4 linked regions of the Oryza sativa Japonica Group genome follow. The main gene of each other region encodes a partner of the protein of the gene in region 2 in a complex. Links are inferred from orthologs where the notes say so. Each region holds a gene or a part of one and is shown on either strand. Other genes may lie near its edges. The genes, in order: mediator of RNA polymerase II transcription subunit 16, probable mediator of RNA polymerase II transcription subunit 26b, mediator of RNA polymerase II transcription subunit 28 and mediator of RNA polymerase II transcription subunit 18.

Region 1 (4,598 bases), on a different chromosome or scaffold from region 2:
AGAAGCATGCTTGCTTTCTCCTCCAAAAAAAATATATGCTCAGTAATATATGTGTTTAACCAACCCGAACTTTGAGGCTGCTGGGTAAGGAACTTTTCCTCAAAGGTTTTCAAGTTTGATGAAGTACTAGAGTTTGCAGGAAGCCATCTATACTGCAAAGTCAAAGAAACAAAACAAATTTAGCCGTGGCAACAGCTTAGTAATTATATTCCTTCGATTCTAAGATCCACTTATTTCAGGCCAAAAGGGTAATCAAACACAGGTAGTGTCATTTGAAATAGATCAAAGTACTTACTCAGACATAAACTGAGCCAGAATCTTTTTTACCTAATTGTTGCAATTGTTTATGATAAATGTCCAGTGAAAAAATCTTAGAACAGTTTAAACTCAAGTCTATTGTCACTGCTTTATAAAATATTATATTTTAAAAAAATAATGATTAACAATTGACACTGAAAAGTATATAAATCTCGAATGTTAAATTGTGAAGCGGACTGTATAAACTGCTGGGTCAATCGTATTGCATATTTGCATTCCAAGTGTAAAGTGCTAATTATCAAAAACAAGAGAAGCAGACTGTAAGTTTGCAAATTGGCAACAAACCGGAGAAATTCCTGACAACCACTTAGTCACCACCGAAAGATCTTGACGCCATTCGTGTTCACATTGCCAGGAACTGGCATCACGTACAAGATTAGTAGGACCCTTCACCATATCAAGAAAGAAACAAGTATTAGAGAAAAAACACAAAACAGCATGATATGTATATAGACTTGAAATGAAAAAAGAAAATCCTGAGTGTTTCGCAAATTAACAAAGTAAGTTCAATGGTACTACTAACAAAAAAAAATGATATGCATACCGAAATTTGCTTAAGGTAGAGATGTACCTTAGTTGGCTGTGTCCATATAGTAATCCTTCCATGAAAATTTGCCACCAGTAATGCACGAGGGCATGATCGAGGAGACCATTCAATGAATTGAACAAAGTCGCGTGGAGAATCTGTTCAAAATTACAGTGAGTTAGGATTGGAGGTAGAAAAACTCGTATATAAACAAAAGTGAGTTTGAATCTCACCCTTCACCTGACTATAAAATGCCCAATGGACAGTGATTTGCACATGCATAACGTAATCACATTACCAAAACAATTGAGATTTAGCCATGGATTACCTGCTTTCACATTGAAAACAGAACATTCTGTTGGTCTCTCTGGATTTAGAATGTGTATGGGAATCCAAAATGGTGGGCTTGAATTAGAGCTGAAAATATACATTAGATCGTTTTACGGCAAAGAAACCTTCATAACCAGAAACTGTAAGCAAACAATTCTACCAAATGGTTGAATATCCCACTAAGACAAGCTAACAGAACAAACTTATTTATGGATAACTAAAGGTCAGAGGAAAGTAAATTTTCAGGGAAAGGATGGAAAAATGTATACCTTGGTATGCGTGCACAAGTCTCTGATGCGCATGCAATTGCATTGAGCTTCCCGCACCAAGCAACTGCACTGCAATAAAAAAAAAACCATAGATAAGATAGTTACTAGTTGTTCCCGATATAGTGTAGGCTAAAGCAGACAAGGCAACCTCATCCTACAAGATCAAAGCAGTTTTAAACAAAAAAAAATAATGTGGATTTTAAAAATGGAGTTATCACGTTCGGTATTTTCTAACTGGTGAACAAAGTAACCAGTTTGACCTGACTAAACTTAGTTATGTGAAATAATGACACTACATGTTATAACTGTATTTGATCTAGTATAGTAGAAGCCTGCACAGGATACAATCATTCAAAGCAATCACAATTCCATGCCCACGCTAATGCTTCTGCAAGTTTGAGTCACTAGATTGTTCATCCCAATCATTGAAACGCCACCCAAATTTGAAGAGGAAAAAAAAAGTAAACCCAGATCGTTTGATTTAGATTATTGAGTGGATTATTGTCATGGATATATTATAGGGATAAATTAGATATTTTGAGAGACAAACTTAACAAATAGCTTAAAACAAGTGGTCTAAGCAATACAGTAGAGGAAAATTTCTTTCGGGGGGAAAAAAACCATTTCAATAAATCGATGAATAAGCTGAAACAGATCAGGGTTTAAATTCATCACACCTAAGCTTCCCCCAACATATTTAAATCCCAGAAAGAAAAAACACCCCCAAAAAAACCACAACTAATCTCGAAACGCACCTGAAGTTCCTGCAGAGCTCGGGCACGCGCATCTTGTGGCGGAGGCTCGAGGGCGGCTGCTTGAGCCGGATCCGGAACACGGTCGCCGGCGACGCCTGCTGCCCACCTCCACCTCCACCTCCTCCTCCCCCCGCACCACCACCACCCCCACCCCCCTCCACATCCCCAACCCCCCCACCACCACCTCCCGCGCCACCATCCACCTCCATGGCCTCGCCTCCCCCTACGCCCACCTCCTCCACTCCACCCCCATCCCCCACTCCTCCTCCACCCCCCTGGCCCTCCTGCTGCTGATCCTTGGGCGGCGGCGTCGGCGAGGAGACGGGCACGGCTCCGGCGGCGGCGGCGGCGGCGTTGGCGGTGGGGGGAGAGGGGGTGGGGGTGGGGACGAGGGGGCTAGGGTTTGGGGCGGAGGAAGAGGTCATAAGGGGCGGAGGAGACAAAAAGGCGAAGGGGAGGGAAGCGCGCGCGAGGGGGGGAGGGGGAGGCTTAGGTCACTGGAAGCGACCGCCCGTTGCTGTCGCGGGGGGAGGGTTTCCTCCCCTCCTCGCTTTGCTGCTGCCTCCTGCGTGTGCGCTGCGGCGGCGTCGCTTTCAGGTTGGGTGGGGAATGGGATGCGGCCGTGGAAAGGGGAGACGACGACGACGAACGACGATGACGATGACGACGACGGGGAGAGAGTCAGAGGGAGGGGGGGAGGGGAAACGAGTGGGTTTGGTCTTTTGGTGGCGTTTCGGGAGTGGTGAGCTCTGGGTATGTACGAATTCCGTTGAATTTTGGATCGAAATTGCTAGAAAACTTTTGCAAGTTCCGTGGAGTTTAGTTCCAAACTTTTTTAAAAAAATTTTTAACTTTCCATCGCATCAAAACTTTCCTACACATACAAACTTCTAACTTTTCTGTCACATCGTTTCAATTTCAACCAAACTTCTAATTTTAGCGTGAACTAAACACACCCTTTTTCTCTCAAAACTTTCAGATTTATGGTCATCGGGTTACTGGAGATTTGTACATTCAAGAGATAACATTGCTACAAAAATATCATACATGTTATGTGCAAGATCTCGGTGCTAGTCAGCCAAACCACGGTTAAATACATGTTTTATATAAGTTATACCGTAGTTACAATACAGTTACAGTACAACTATACTTCAATTATAATATAATTTAATCTCGAAGTTTTACACTTAAAAAATCTACGGCAGTTTTTTACACACTCCAATATTACTCTTGTATAGTACCTAGATGTACTAACTTGTAACGAAATAAAGAGTGTTGTCTGTCTATTTAAAATTGGATACACGAATTTCATTGAAATTGGCATGGAGGCGGGTAATCTTGGTGTTGTGGTCTTGCGGTGGATTGTAACTTGTAAGAAAATGGGGATAGTCGTCTATTTATTTGAAACTGGGTACATAAATTTCGTTAAATTTGGCACCAAGGCAGATAAAATGAGTGAATGTATGCCTTTTTGGGAATTTGAATGAATCTTTCGTCAGATTTATAGTTTGACAATTTCAGTTAAAATTTATCTCCCTCGGTTACAAATTTCATCAATTGTTTATGTATCGAATCTTTAATTAAATTGTATTATTCCATCATTTTACTTTAAATGATATCTCTCTAGGCCACAACTTTCATTACATCATTGTCTCGATTTTTATGTACATATAGAAATTGTAGTGTGCTAGCACATATATGTACATAAAAATTGAGATTATGAACTTGGAGCTAGAAACTTGAAACTTAACCCTTTCAGATTATCATCAGCCGACTAATCACAAGCGTCTTATAAGAATCTTTATAAGAATCTCTAGCTCTCTATTTAGGTTATTATCATTGTTGTCGTGATCGTCGATAGCCCATCCTAACTACGCATGTTTTCTTTGTTTATACAATATAAATATGTTTTTTTTCCAATAGATGCAGCAGAGTCATGACCTATGAAATTGATGATACGGCACGGTAAGATTTTATTCGCAACAAATAAGTCGATAAAACAACAAGCCCATCTTAAAAATAAATCCAAAGAAACCCAACCCAAAAGAAGGGAAGGTCAGGCGATGGGCCCAAACACGAGCCAAACAGGCCCATGAGCCCTTGTACGGCCCATATGCAGGTGATCAGCCCACCATGGAACGGCCCACGTAGCCCACCGCCTCTCCTCGCCACCGACTCAATTCACCCAAAGGTCCCAAACCGTCACAAAATAGTTAAACCAATTCCACGATTCCGTATTCTTCCTCACGACCTCAAAAACCCAAACCAATCTACTCCGCCGCCGCCGCCGCGATGGTGTTCGTCCGCGCGCCGGACGGGAGGACCCACCACGTCGACCTCGACCCCTCCACCGCCACGCTCGCCGACCTCACGGCCTCCGCCTCCCGCGTCTGCGGCGGC
Region 2 (4,832 bases):
GCAGGAAGCCTCGATTTCTAGAACCAAAGTTCAGATATTTAAGTCATGATGTTCTGAGGATTATCATACTATTAGGCCTTAGTAATAGCATATATACTTACATCCACATGGCTCGCTGCAGGTTTTCTTTCAACAGCAACCTGCTCTCGAGCCAGTCTAGATTTCATCTCAACAAAGGGCTTCTGCTGAGGAGCTGCCCTTAATGGTCTCCCAGGTCCAGAATCAGAACTCAAGGGCTTAGATTGCTTGTGAAGCATGGCCTGCTGTTTGACTTGCAAACTTGAATTTTGAGGGGTTTGTGGGTTAGCCTGCCTCATTGATGGCTCTTGCCTTGCCAATTCCGGCCTCCTGGATTGAACTTTTTCAACAGCTCCCATGTTACGGGGAGGCTCTTGCTTTGTCAAAGCTGGATGGCTTGTAGGCCTCCTGCCATAATTTTCTCTCTTATTTCCAAGGCTCCCATCATTGTTATGTCTCAAGTCTGTCATAAAATGTATAACTTGAATTATTATAGTGCACAGAAAAAAAAGGGAAACTATGTAATTTGAGTTGTTGTACTTACTTCCATCTTCATCCATTTCATCAAAGAACTTTAGGTCAGGAAGATGAAGCAGAAAGAAAAACAACAATGCAAAGTTAGAATTGTGTTCTGGACCAAAACAATCCAGATACCAGGAACAAACAAAAATTAGTACCTCAGAGAGTTGAATAGCAGTAGTCTGGGTTGCAAAGAACGCCCCTTCATCCAGAGGTGGAGAAGGAAGCCCTTCATCATCAGCATCATCGACAACAGATGTTTTTGAAGAGCCCGGGGAGTTGTCTACAGATCAAAAGATCCATTACATGTTAAGAGGTGAACATTCACTTACAAATTGATGACTCATACGCGATATGAAACAAAATAACTTTTATTACCTGTAAGGGCAACATTAGTGGTGCTGACCCACTCATCAACCAAAATTTTCCAACCTCTGAAAAAAAAATGTTTTAAGACGTCAACAATGTTTCCAAAATTGGTTAATAACCACACTACAAATAAGGTAAATAATTCACTCAAGTAGTACAAAGACTGGAGAATACAGAAGCTAAATCAGTAGACTCGTATCATGTTTTCAGAAACTTATAGGTACAGTAGAGTATCAATTTGCTTCAGCAAGTTCTCTAAATTAAAAGCTAGATCAGCCCTAGAGAATGAAATTTAGTGCAAGCATATTGAACTTACTCAATGAGAGTGCGCACAAGGTGACGAATTTGCTGCGAGTTGTGCTTCCGCAGCCCATTAACAGCCCTCCCAATCTCAGTAGCCTACAACAAACAACATCGGAGATTAGCAAACCAAACAGAACCACTATGCGTCACTCCGCATAGCTCATATGCGCTATCCAACACAGTACCTTCAGCGTGGAAACGGACAATTGCATCAGCTGCAGCCTCCTCAGTGATTCGAACAAAGTAGCATCCGACTGCGAAAACCACAGTTGAGATCAAATGTTAAGTCCCTGTTGAGGAATGGCACAACTCTTACTCATGGAAGAACTGAAAGCTGGGAATAGTTCATCATACATGATCTTCCTTGTGCAAGAAGAGGTCCTTGATGCGGAGAACCTCGCCGACGACCTGTGACTCCTCGTCGATCTCGTTGGTGAGTGCCTCAAGCTCCACAGCCTCGGGGTCCAGCTCTTGTTCTTCGTCCTCTTCAGCCGGCGCCGCCTCCTGCTCCTCCTCTTCCTCCTCGTCGTCATCATCGTAGTTGTGACCGTAGTTGCTCGCCGCGGCGCGGCGGAGGCGCTCGTCGTCGGAGTCAGAGTCAGAGTCGTCATCGACGTCGTCGCGGCGGCCGCCGCCGCCGCCGAGGGCGCCGTTGCTGCTGCTGTCCACCTTGCTCTGCTTCTCGGGGACGCGGCGCACGCTGCCCTTGTCCTCCTCCACGGGGGTGGCCGGGGTCGGGGTGGCGGCGCTGCCGCACCCGTGGTGGCAGGGCGGGGCGCGCGGCGCGGTGAAGAGGATCTCGCAGATGCGGTCGCGGCGGCGCAGGAGCTCCTGCGGCGCGTCGGCGGCGGCGACGAGGATGGCGTTCTCGATCACGTCGCAGATTCCGGCGGAGCCGGCCGCCCCGCGGAGGAGCTCGCGCCACCGATCCAGCCGGTCGGCCATCGCCGCCGCGGCCACCCGAGATCGGGCTCCCCCCACCTCCACCTCCACCCCCACGACTCCGATGGCTCCCCTGGCACCACCAAGAATCGATGCCCTCTCTCGATCACCTCCTCCTCCTCCTCCTCACAATCTTGAAATTTCTTTTTCCCCTTATCAGATTACGTTGCACCAAAAGAATCTAATCCAACCCGATCGCGAATCAGATGCCCCCCACCGAGGGAATCCCCCAACCGGGAAAGCGAAATTCTCCCGAGACAGCGAAAAATCAATCTAACGAACACCGCTGCCTCTCCTCAACGCCAAGAACGAATCAATCAAGAAGAGAAAACCCCAAAAAAAAAAAACAAATCAATCCTCACACCACCCAAACCCAATCTCCCCTCCCTTCCTTTGCTTCACCCCCACGTCCACGTTACTTGACGATTTCAACCCAACAAACAAAACAGCTCCTAACCAAATCTTATCTGTGCCGTCGCCGCCGCAGGAGGAGGAAGACGACGACGACGAGGGGGAGAGGGAATGCGGGGAGGGGGGTTGGATAGGGACGCGGCGGATGGCGAGGCACACGCAACGCAAAAACGAGAGCCCACGAGAACTACGCAAGCTCGACTCTACCAAACAACAACAACTACTCCTCCTCCTAATTCCCCCGCACGCACACCACCACCACCACCATGGCCTCCTAGTGGTAACAACAAATCTCGCGTCTCCCTTTCCCAACTCCTTCCGTTCGTCTCGTTCTCTCTCTCGCGCAACGGAGGTCGCAGCTTTTCTCGGTCTAGGACTTTCCGGGGGGGCCCTTTTTTTTACCGGGTTTGGGGACACAGCCACACAGGGCGAGGTCACTACGGTTTTGGAGAGGGAGGCGGCCTCGTGGCTGTTTCTCGGCTTTGACCCTGTCGAGTTGTTGGTGGGATGCAGGTCCTCTCATGCAGTAGGCTCCCTGACATGTGAGCCCTATAGCCCCTCGGGCCCACATATTAGTGAGCAGTACGGCACATGCAGTACTGGAGAGGATCTCAACTGTTGTTGGTGGGAGTGGGACTAGTACTACTCTTTCCTGTAGTGTTTGGTTGGTAATAGTAGCATTCGTTTTTTGTTTATTGGGCTAATGATTCCCGTTTGATATCCACTTAATTCAAGTTTAGTTTTCAAACTTGGGTAGGTGAGCATCATCTACCATAATATCACTGTTATTATATAATAGGATCATCCTCTTATTTGTTTCATATATAAGTGTCTATAGTATGTGAACCAGTTGTATGCACGTACCCACCTCCATCCCAAAAGAAAAACTCAACTTACGAAGGATTGTCCATTTTTAGATGAATAGAGTACTCTCTCAATTCTATAAAAGACTAAATTAGTACGAAATATGATATATTTTAATACTATAAATCTGAATAGACGTTCAACACTATGTTATTTTTTTTATGGAACCAAGAAAATACGTGCATGCAACCGTAGCCGCCGTAGGCCACTCAAATTTTAAAAAGTAAACTTGGATTGTATCTATATAAATATATTTGTGGTATTAGAATGTGTCACGTTTCGGTAATAGGGTGGTTTTTTTATGGAATGGAGAATGTGCTTTAGGAGTACTATTAATTGTTGAGGCCCAATGGACTATTTTTGGCATCATTTTCGAAACATGGTGCGAGGAAATAGTATTGGATTAGTAAATGCCAATCGATGGTTTGATATAGTATAGCACAGTAGTACACCGTAGGATCAAAGAAATATTTATGCTCTGTATAGCTTCTTCTTTTTTGAATAGAAAAAGAATGGAGTACTTTTAGCATCCTTTTCAAAACAAGGTGCTAATGTAGTAGCGAAATCTTGGATTAGTAAATGGCGATCAAGATTGATTAGCAATATACGCTGTATCATCAAAGAAAATATTTAGGCGGCAAATACTCCTTTCTATTTATAAAAAACTGAGCTATCTATTAACAGTGAAATTTGATAATCGACAAAGGCGTCATCGGCTTAGAATCATTATCGGCTGTAGCATCTCGGAATCAGCCGATGAGAGTTATCAAGTCACCAATAGTCGAATTCCTGCTATATTCGGTTAAGGAAATCAATCTACTAAAGGAAGCTTATCTCTAAGTGACCGAGTTTAAAGAGGATGCGGCATGGCAGTTTATCTATTAATTAGGAATAGTTTGTTAGTTTCCTTTTTATCTTTAGAAAAGTGTGTTTAGTGTCCGATAAGGACTTTATATTTTCCTTTTATCTTTAGGTCTGTGTACACTATCATTAGTAGAGTAGAGTACTCTATGTTTATTAGTGTAAAATTCCTAACAAGTAATCAACCGTTTCATTTAATCAGGTGATAGTTATGTCTTATAGAAAATTGACTCAGTTATAGCGTGCCACATTTAGAAAAGTTTACTAACGCTTTTTTTCCTAAAGTACTTTCTTTTACTCCCACTAACGGTTGATATATATGGTCCACGGTTTGTTTTCTTTTTTGTTTTTTCACCCGGATTTATGCGGTTGTTTCCAAGAAAACCCAGACACTCGCATCTCGTTGGCTGCGCTGCTCAGCGGATGGATACCCGACTCGAGAGTGACACGTGTTCCTTGCTTTCTTCGATTTATTTTTATGTGTTTCTTGGTTTCGCTGTCCACGGAATATGTGTTTCTTTCTTTCCCTGGGCCGTTCAGGGCGT
Region 3 (4,413 bases), about 17 Mb from region 2:
GTCTCTTAACGTGTTCAACTAAAGGAAGATAATCATCCAAACTATAGATCGAATATAATGCTAACAAAGAAAACTAATACAAATGACCACGGCAAACAATAATCACAAGCATAAAGACCACTGTTTGTACAGTAAGCATGTTGCACATTTAAACGCCCCTATTTCTGCCTTATATTTTTCTTGGGCCCACTACTTTTGGATTCCTTCGATTCATTGGCTCACTGTTTTGTGCAGCTCTCTCAGCTACCTTTTGCTGGCGCACAGAAGGTCATGATGCCGGAGATAATTGTACCGAATAACATCCTCTTCGTCCAAAACCTCCCACATGAGACGACCCCTATGATGCTTCAGATGCTCTTCTGTCAGTACCCAGGGTTCAAGGAAGTCAGAATGGTTGAAGCAAAGCCTGGGATTGCTTTCGTGGAGTACGGCGACGAGGGGCAGGCTACCGCTGCCATGAACCATCTTCAGGGGTTCAAAATTACGAAAGATAACCAGATGCTTATCTCGTATGCGAAGAAGTAAATGTACTATTGACTTGCTCGATGAATGTTGTAGTCCCAAGTTTTCGCATAATCCATAGATTTTCATTGTTAGGTAGACTACACCATGACAACCATGTTAATGTACTACTGCTCAGCTGCCCGTGTGTGTTTCAGGAATGAGATGAAATTTGAACCATCTTTGCAGTCGTGAGTTCTCCTAGTTAGTTCCACTCGTGTTCCCTTGTGTAAAATATGGCAGCTTGAGACGATTTACATTTATGCTATTGCTGTTAGCCTCGTTAAAATATTTACCATCTCATAGTCATACTTGTGTAGTTGTGTCACCATGGTCACCTGACAGCAACTGTGGGATTCAATTACCATTAAATCATTAATATGTTGAAAGAAACATCTAAAATGACAAGTGAGGCAATTAGACAATTCCATTGAACACACATGTTATCATACACTCCTATAATCGGGAAAAAGATGTTGCTCCGAAAAATCTAAAAGTTTAACATGTTAGGCATGCCTAACACGATGAGATGGAGAGCACACGAGAAACTACGAACAATAATATTATGATAAACCGAACATAGCAACGAACATTAATACAGCGCAATTTGTTCGTCTTCGGCAAACTGGTCAGATCCTAAAACATTGTTGTGGTGTTTTTTTTTTCCTGGCTGGCGTACTCAAAATCTCCAAGGCATAGCCCAGCACTGGGCTACTCAGGTTGATCATCGGAAGGAGCCTGGGACATTTCATGGAAGACAGTGGTGTCACACTCTTTCGAGTTCAGTAACATGCTTTCCCAGCTGGTCCTTCAGCTCTTTCTGCCACCCTTCGATGAGCTTCTTATGTTTGTCGATGAGCTCGGACTTGGTCTTCAGCTCTTCCTCCATTATAGCAATATCCTGCAAACCGAAACTGGACATGTTAAAACATGATGACACATTATTATTTGATTATTACAGCTTGGGGACCACGCCATATAGGATTTCTCTTGATTTCTCCCATGAAGCTTATAGAGAAAAATCGATGCACAATTTTTTTTTTACAACGGTTGCAATATAACATCAATATAATTGATTTCAAAGAGAGGGTCAAATGGATTTTATACAACCAATCTAGATAGCTTTAAACTTATTGATGGGCCAAATATTAAAAACCATTGGATCTCAAGCACTCTAAAATGTTGAGCACAACGAGTACTAACACAGAAAAAAAACTTCAATTAGACATCTCAGAGAATTAGTGCTAACAATACGGGACTGATTTAGAGCTGGCCCAGTCAATTCAAGACTGTAAAAGAGACAAACTCAAGCCCTTATCTTTGAAAATTGAATATTTTTTAGACCTTTTCCCTCGCCATCCCCAAGCTCTCAGCCTCCCATGTCTGTGTACTCTGGTGTCAAATCGTTACTCTGTGCTTACCCAACCTAGGGCATGTTTGAGGGAGCTTTTGGCAGCTGCAGCTTTTCCTAAAATTAAAAGCTCACTCAAACAGTTCAGCTTTTCATCTAGATTCTGAGAAGATGTAGTTAAAGAATACAGAAAATAAACTAGAAACAAGAAACCTAACTTTCCAGCTTCTTCATATTCTCATAAACTGACTACCAACCAATTGCTTCTCAAAATCTTAAGCTCCCCCAAACAAGGTCCTAGTTCTACCTACAGGCTAATTTGCTAATCACAAAGTTCTAATTTGCTAATCATTTCGAAGTCAAGGAGTACCTTTCGAAGCAAAGTTGTTCCGAAAGCAATGCAATGTACCTTTCGAAGCATTTCTTCTGTCGACGGTCGGTCCTCGCGCTGCAGGCTGATGAAGTAAGACTGGAGCTTCTTCGCAGCCTCCATGAAATCCCTCGCGTGCCTCTCAACATCAACTGTTCCACATTATAACAACCACAACACCTTAGAATCCCTATTTTGCTAACCAGCAACAAAGCAAAAGAATCCAATTTCTACATCGACAGTTGAGCACACAGATGTAGAACGCTCAAATGCCACCCTCTCAATCTCATCTCAGCACCCGCGAGACGCCCGCGTACCAACAGCGCAAGTAAAAAGAAAAAATAACTTCGCCACATTTTGCTAGAGCACGAGGGGCTTCCTAATCCCCACCTCGTAGGCAAAACAGCGAACACCTGGCGGGCGGGCGAGTCGAACCAAACCAGCCGCGCCAAATCTTGGCCGGGGGAAGCGCAAGAACGACGGGGAAGGGAGGCTGCAGAGGGAGGAGAGAGGGGGAGCGGCGGGGTCAGTCTCAGTGAGTCCGACGTACTCTGGTGGGAGGATTGGAGGGAGCGGTCGACGGCCTGGAGCTCGCGCGCGGGGAGGCAGGGCAGCAGCGCCGCCTCCAGCGCCGCCACGCAGGCCATCATGTCGTCGCGCGCGCTCTCCCCGGGCCCCTGCTGCTGCTGCTGCGCCGCCTGCGGCGGCGTCTGCGCCGGCGACTGCGACGGCGGCTCGGCCATGAGAGCGAGAGACGAGAGAGAGAGAGGTGGGGATCGCAAAATTGCAATGAAACCCTTCTTCCAAAAACTACTAGAAAATGGGTGCGCCTGGCGCACCTACTAAGGCTGTGTTCAGAGGAGGGGCTTGGGAACCCCTCCTCCTGCCACGCAAAACGAAGTTTATTTTATTGCATGATTAATTAAGTATTATCTAATTTTATTTTAAAAAATAGATTAATATGATTTTTTTAAACAACTTCTATATATAAAGTTTTTTTATAAATCACACCGTTTAGCAGTTTGAAAAGCGTACACGTGGAAAACAAGATAGGTGGGTTGGGAAAATGGGGGGAAGAACATAGCTTAAAAGTACCCTGTAAATATTTATACCTTTGTTAGGATGTATAAATGTTTTAGAGTTATTTAGACTTAGTTTGATTTATTAGATATATAGATATATATACATATATATATATATATACATATATATATATATATATATAATGATATTTATGATATTTCTATTTGGAAAATAAATCTGGAATTCTATTTGGGAAAAATTCTAGGTCTATAAATATTTTTTTCTAAGTTAATTGTCTGAGTTTGAATAAAATGCACCAATATATAAAATAATAAATAAATGCAATAAAGACATATTTCATGATGAATCTAATTAAACTAATTTGGTGTTACAGATTTTGTATTTTTTTTTATAAAGCCAACCGGTGTTAGAGAAGTTTAACTGAAAGATAAACTTAGATTACAATATGAACATATGGAGTCAGTGAATTTCCGTTGTATTTTAGAAAAAAGAAACATGAAATGCTAATATTTTTTTTCCTATGCATATTGTTTAAGTCCCATTTATCTTTATGTTTGTGTATTTAATCTTGTGTTAAACATCAAATATGGCAACATATATTGCTTGACTTCGTGACTTTCTGATTTTTTTACTGTAGCATAAAAGTGAACACACTTCTTTGCTGCTCGACACGTATGCATGCGGTTGTCATAAATACATCTAATTAATCGATCAGTGATAGTCACAATTAACTTAATGTTATCGGTAGATATTTCTTTTATTGATGTAATATACTCCTTAGTTGATTATAAGTTATAGCAGAATCTAATATAGCATTAGGTTAGGTTGGTGCCATTTTGGGGAGTACGACCGATGTACCCAGTCGGCTAGTCAATTGGTCTAATCTATACTTCTTCAAAAAAAAAAACGGAGATATGTCATATAGTGAATATGTCATCATACCTACCCTCATTGTAAATTTTGTAAGTTGCCCCTTAAATTTCTTAATATTTAAAAGATCAAATCTAAATTGATAGTCAAATAAAAAAATGATTAGGTAGTGTTTGAATCTCCTGAAGATGAAGATTAAGTGTTTCACGCAAAACGAGGTGATAATAACATGTGATTAATTAAATTTTAATTATTACAAATTTGAAAAATGAATTAA
Region 4 (4,730 bases), on a different chromosome or scaffold from region 2:
ATAGCCAAAATGTTGACACATCCAAGCAGATAATAGTAAAGCGTGCCTGGATTGTGAAAATAATGTATTAGTATCAGAAAAATGTGTATCCATAATTTCTGAGTTACTACTAGGCAAACATGAAGCCTCCATATCAATTACTATACTGAACATTTTATGCCTTCCTTCCCTTAGTCATTTAAGCCATCTGCATTCTTCTAAATCACTGCAACAACAATATTTATATAGATAGGCAACACAGCAAGTTGAGCTGTTAAAATGCACAGAAGTAAGACAATAATGAGTATCATATCATACTTTTCATTCGTTCTCCAGAATGCCCCAGCATTGTCGATAACCATCTTGAGCAACTCAAGAGACAACACCTTCCCGCGCAGCAGGACCTGATCTTCGGGATTATCCGGCGTCGAGAACTTCATGGACAGCTTGCACAGGTTCTTGAACAGTGTCAACCCATCCTCCCTGATCTTGCTCATGACAACATCCTCCTTCCCATCCGTCTCGGCCGGCTCAACCGGGGACCCCGGCTCAGGGACATCGCTTCCCTCCATCGTCTCGTTTATGAAGCTCTGCGCCGCATGGACAATGCTGGAGTCATTCAGGTTGCGGTCAGACATGTCCATCATGTCGGTGATCGACACCGTGCGCACGCGCACATCCATGGAGTCCACCTCCACGCGCGCGAACACGATCACCAGCACCTGCGCCAGCGCCAGCTTAGCGCAGAGCTGGTTGGCGCCGCTGCTGCTACTGAGGTATATGTTGTAGCAGGTCTTGAGCATCTGGCCGAGCCCTTCCCCGCGGATGGCGACGGAGGGGCACCGCGCGGCGGCCACGAGGACGCGGAGGGTGGAGAGCTCCATGGCGTCGTCGGCGAGCGCGCCGCAGGAGAGCACGGCGGCGAGCAGCTTGGAGGACGGGGAGTCGTCGTCGCCGCCGCCACCGCCGAGATCACCGACGAGGAGGCGGTGGTAGAGCAACTTGGCGACGCAGTCGAGCGCCGGGTCGGCGACCTTGGGGGACGCCGACTCGAGCGCGAGGAGGAGCGCGTGGATGCACGCGTCCGCGGCGGCCGCCGGCAACCCGAGCAGCAGCGACGGCGGCGACGGCGCCGACGCCGACGCGTACGCCGACGAGGAGAGCAGGTCGAGCGCCGCCTTGGCGGCCGCCACGAGGCCCGAGTGCTTCCGCCACGCCGCGTTCTTGATGATCCGGTCCAGCGCAGGGCCCAGCACCCGCCCCGACGGCGACGCGCCGCCGATTGCCCCCGCCGGCGAGGCCATAGTTAGCCGTCCACGCAGACTCTCACGCGCTCTACGCGGTGGTCGTCGCCGTCGCCGTCGCGGCCATTGGATCTGAGACCTCGAGACGAGGAGGAGGTGGAAGAAAATGGGAATTCGAGAGGAAGACGAGACGAGCGCGTGGGGGAGGAAGAGGAAGAGGAGAAGTCAGAGGAAGGGTATGACTGAAATTTCAGATTCTTCCAGGGGCCTAGATGCAAAAACGCCGCGACCCTTCGCGCGGGGGTGAGGCATTTTATCACTTTACCCCCCTCGGTTTCTCGGAATTCTTTCTTCTCGTCTCCATCGCTGCAGGAGGAGGAGGCGGCGGAGGACGGCGAGCGGTCAGTGGCGGAGAGGGGAGTGTTCGGGGACGCGGGGTTTGCGAGGTGGGGGGAGCTCTTGCGCCTCGGATCGGCTCACTTCCCGACGCCTCAGCCCCCGCCGCGCCGCGGATTATTGCTGTTAGGTTAAAGGTGGGGGTGAATTTTTGTTGCTGCGAGGTAGCTGTTCGACGAAATTCCGCAGCGTGGTTTCAGGGTTTGTCTCTCTTGCAGGGATTGTGGTAGCGAGAAGCGGTGGGGTTGATGGAGTGCGTGGTGCAGGGGATCATCGAGACCCAGGTTATTGTTCTTCTTTCTCACTTCGCCAGTAGACTTGTATGAGTGGTGACTGTGTGAGCGGTTGTTGAAGTGAACGGTAGTTTCTTCCGAGAATGAGTGATCTGTAGCTATGCAACGATGCATTTTTGTTCATATGAAACTGATTTGTCTGTTTATGCTGTAAAACATGACCAATTTGAACTTTTACCCGGAAAATCATACATGGCCCGTAACATAAGCCGGAGTGATGGTAGATGTGATGTTCTTCATGGATTCTTGATTTTTGTATGATGGTAGGCCTTTCTGGGAAATCGGTACTAGTCAAGTTTGCTGATCTGACATTTGCGCTCCTTACTTGTATGTTGTATCTAGAATTCTGAATTTTATTTAATTTTTGGCATAAGGTTATTTGGCCTTTCGCTTTGTAGTAACCTTATCCAAAGGAGTTGGAATGTAGAATTTCGACGTTTACTAAATGAACTTTCTATCACTTGATTTAAGATAGCATTTTTGTTGTTGGAGGTGTCAATTGCCTGAAAACAGACCTCTGTAAATGTAATTGTGATAAAACCTTTTGAAAGGTAACACTTAAGCTATCCCAGGTAGCAAATCTATCAACTGCATAGCCCCAATGTCAAATTACATCTCAATAGTCCTACTTAGGAACAAAGTTATTTTTTCACTCCATATAGCATGAAGTAGTATTGGAACTTTATGTCCATAGAGAATTTCTTTTTTCTTGAACGAAACACATCAGGGAATAGAGAATAATAATTCATGCCAGCATTAAGACTTTGTCGTCGATCCATTGTCTCTATATGACCTTTTGTTAGTCTCTTATAGCTTCCTCTTGTCAGCATATCAACACTTCCCTTCAGGATAATAAAAAAAAAGTATACAGTTGATCATGCTGACCACTATATGGTCAACCATGTTTCTCCACTCTGAGGGCACTACTTCTGCCACTTGCAGACTTTTTTTGATTCTCTTTTCAATATGTTGATATGGTTCTATTTTATATACAATTGGAGGAATCATATCACTTATATGGTTTGTAATTTTACAATAAAGGGATTAATTTATATACACATGTCAATGTCTTGTGCTTAGAACACCATTTAACCTTTTTTAGTTTTCATTGCTTTGACATCAGTGTAACTTTTGGTTGATCTTCTTGTTATGCAGCATGTTGATGCTCTTGAGGTTCTTCTCCAGGGCCTCTCTGGTGTCCCAAAAGAACGTGTCAGAGTGCATGAGCTCTGTCTTAAAAGTGGGCCAAATCTAGGTCAGTTTGCAACTTTTTCATTATTCTGATCATATGCCATTGTTACTCATATACATCTTCCAATCATACAGGAGTTGTCCCATCAGAGGTTCGTTTATTGTGTGACTTAGCTCAGTCCACGCCATCCTGGTAACTTTTCTTTCAGCTGCTAAAATTTACATTTTTGTGATATTTGATGATATTCTGAATCCAGTAGTATTCATGTAGGACCATAAGACATGTTGGAGGTGCCATGAGAGGTGCTGGTGCAGAGCAAATCTCAGTCCTTGTGCGGTCAATTGTAGAGAGCAAAGCCAGCAACAATGTATTGCGTTACTTCTACGGTATAGGGTACAAGTTAGATCATGAAGTTCTGAAGGGAGGATTTGCATTTCGTTTCCACCGAGGTGCCCAGATAACTGTGACCGTTACCTCTGTTAGCAAGATGACAAAACTCCATGCTACCAACGAAGCTGTGCCAATCACTCCTGCAATACAGCTAGTGGAAATCACGGCCCCTGCTGCTGCTGACAATTACAACGATGTCGTTTCAGCCGTCACTTCGTTCTGTGAATATCTAGCACCGTAAGTAACTAAGTGTTCCTTAGCTATCTCAAGATTATTACTAGACTGGCATAAACGAATTTTCTCACTTTTGACTGCAAAACACACTGCAGGCTTCTGCATCTCTCTAAACCAGGCAATTCGACTGGAATCGTCCCGACTGCAGGCGCTGCTGCCGCCTCACTCATGTCAAGTGGTGGTGGTGGTGGTGGTAAAACGTTGTGATCGGTCATATGTGTTGGCTGCAATGCCATGATGATCTCCATTGACCATCCCACTTAAAACATTGTTGCCATCTTTAGTTCTGTAACTTTTAGTCAGTAGCACCATGGTTTTTCTTGTAATGACATGCTAAATGCTGCCTACCTTGCTTTGGAGACTGGTAAATGAACACTGATCATTGCTTGCTTTTACTGAAGAGTGGAAACTGAATGCTGGGAAAGCTTGACGATATTGGTGGTAGACTGATAGCTGGAGTTTGTCATGATCCTGACAATATATTTGATGGTAGCTTTGTTTACTTTAATTTAGGTCACATACGTGGTAAGGATCTCATGGTTTGGGACGTTCAATTGCCCAGTAGTTTTTCTCTAGTTAATTAGTGTGCATCAAACTATTTTCTCTAGTTATTATGTAAGTCTAGCAGTCAAGTTACCAGAAATCAGAATACACTGCATGCATTACTTGCATAGTCAACAAAGTATCTCAATGACAACTGATCTTCCTAAAAGTTGCTGCAAAACGAAACAAAGCCGGAGTAACTAGAGAGGAGGGGAGAGAGCTAGGTTGCTGACAACTTGACGAGATCAACTCATCCTGATGCTCAGTGCAGGATGAAGTGCCATCTCCTCCTGCTCTTCCAGCTCCAGCTCCTTTACAGTTTACATGCATCTTCTTCCTCAGATTTCTTTGGGATCCCTATTCCTCATTTGCCTGGTGATTTATGATATGGAAAGCATCGAGTGTACATAGCTGGACCTACACTGTGAATGATAATACCAACATTCTGTTTAGCTAGAA

The links.
Region 1: probable mediator of RNA polymerase II transcription subunit 26b (region 2) and mediator of RNA polymerase II transcription subunit 16 share a complex: the UniProt entries of both Arabidopsis thaliana proteins name them as parts of the mediator complex. The link is inferred for Oryza sativa Japonica Group from reciprocal best matches to the Arabidopsis thaliana genes AT5G05140 and SFR6.
Region 3: probable mediator of RNA polymerase II transcription subunit 26b (region 2) and mediator of RNA polymerase II transcription subunit 28 share a complex: the UniProt entries of both Arabidopsis thaliana proteins name them as parts of the mediator complex. The link is inferred for Oryza sativa Japonica Group from reciprocal best matches to the Arabidopsis thaliana genes AT5G05140 and AT3G52860.
Region 4: probable mediator of RNA polymerase II transcription subunit 26b (region 2) and mediator of RNA polymerase II transcription subunit 18 share a complex: the UniProt entries of both Arabidopsis thaliana proteins name them as parts of the mediator complex. The link is inferred for Oryza sativa Japonica Group from reciprocal best matches to the Arabidopsis thaliana genes AT5G05140 and AT2G22370.

Annotation. Positions count from the first base shown.
Region 1 is NC_089044.1:19,706,769-19,711,366, reverse strand, and holds the start of mediator of RNA polymerase II transcription subunit 16, read right to left. Parts: upstream 2,882-4,598; 5' UTR 2,624-2,881; coding exon 2,199-2,623; intron 1,513-2,198; coding exon 1,444-1,512; intron 1,262-1,443; coding exon 1,173-1,261; intron 1,003-1,172; coding exon 890-1,002; intron 706-889; coding exon 604-705; intron 153-603; coding exon 65-152; intron 1-64. Other genes in the region: protein STABILIZED1, read left to right, coding at 4,491-4,598. UniProt on the Arabidopsis thaliana protein: Component of the Mediator complex, a coactivator involved in the regulated transcription of nearly all RNA polymerase II-dependent genes.
Region 2 is NC_089039.1:20,347,082-20,351,913, forward strand, and holds the start of probable mediator of RNA polymerase II transcription subunit 26b, read right to left. Parts: upstream 2,980-4,832; 5' UTR 2,155-2,979; coding exon 1,564-2,154; intron 1,464-1,563; coding exon 1,395-1,463; intron 1,306-1,394; coding exon 1,223-1,305; intron 972-1,222; coding exon 916-971; intron 821-915; coding exon 696-820; intron 591-695; coding exon 563-590; intron 482-562; coding exon 102-481; intron 18-101; coding exon 1-17. UniProt on the Arabidopsis thaliana protein: Component of the Mediator complex, a coactivator involved in the regulated transcription of nearly all RNA polymerase II-dependent genes.
Region 3 is NC_089039.1:3,231,904-3,236,316, forward strand, and holds mediator of RNA polymerase II transcription subunit 28, read right to left. Parts: upstream 3,038-4,413; 5' UTR 2,966-3,037; coding exon 2,773-2,965; intron 2,375-2,772; coding exon 2,262-2,374; intron 1,403-2,261; coding exon 1,268-1,402; 3' UTR 911-1,267; downstream 1-910. Other genes in the region: U1 small nuclear ribonucleoprotein A, read left to right, coding at 235-525. UniProt on the Arabidopsis thaliana protein: Component of the Mediator complex, a coactivator involved in the regulated transcription of nearly all RNA polymerase II-dependent genes.
Region 4 is NC_089036.1:5,237,798-5,242,527, forward strand, and holds mediator of RNA polymerase II transcription subunit 18, read left to right. Parts: upstream 1-1,563; 5' UTR 1,564-1,756; intron 1,757-1,837; 5' UTR 1,838-1,867; coding exon 1,868-1,903; intron 1,904-3,067; coding exon 3,068-3,167; intron 3,168-3,238; coding exon 3,239-3,296; intron 3,297-3,374; coding exon 3,375-3,731; intron 3,732-3,823; coding exon 3,824-3,935; 3' UTR 3,936-4,123; downstream 4,124-4,730. Other genes in the region: brefeldin A-inhibited guanine nucleotide-exchange protein 1, read right to left, coding at 298-1,283. UniProt on the Arabidopsis thaliana protein: Component of the Mediator complex, a coactivator involved in the regulated transcription of nearly all RNA polymerase II-dependent genes.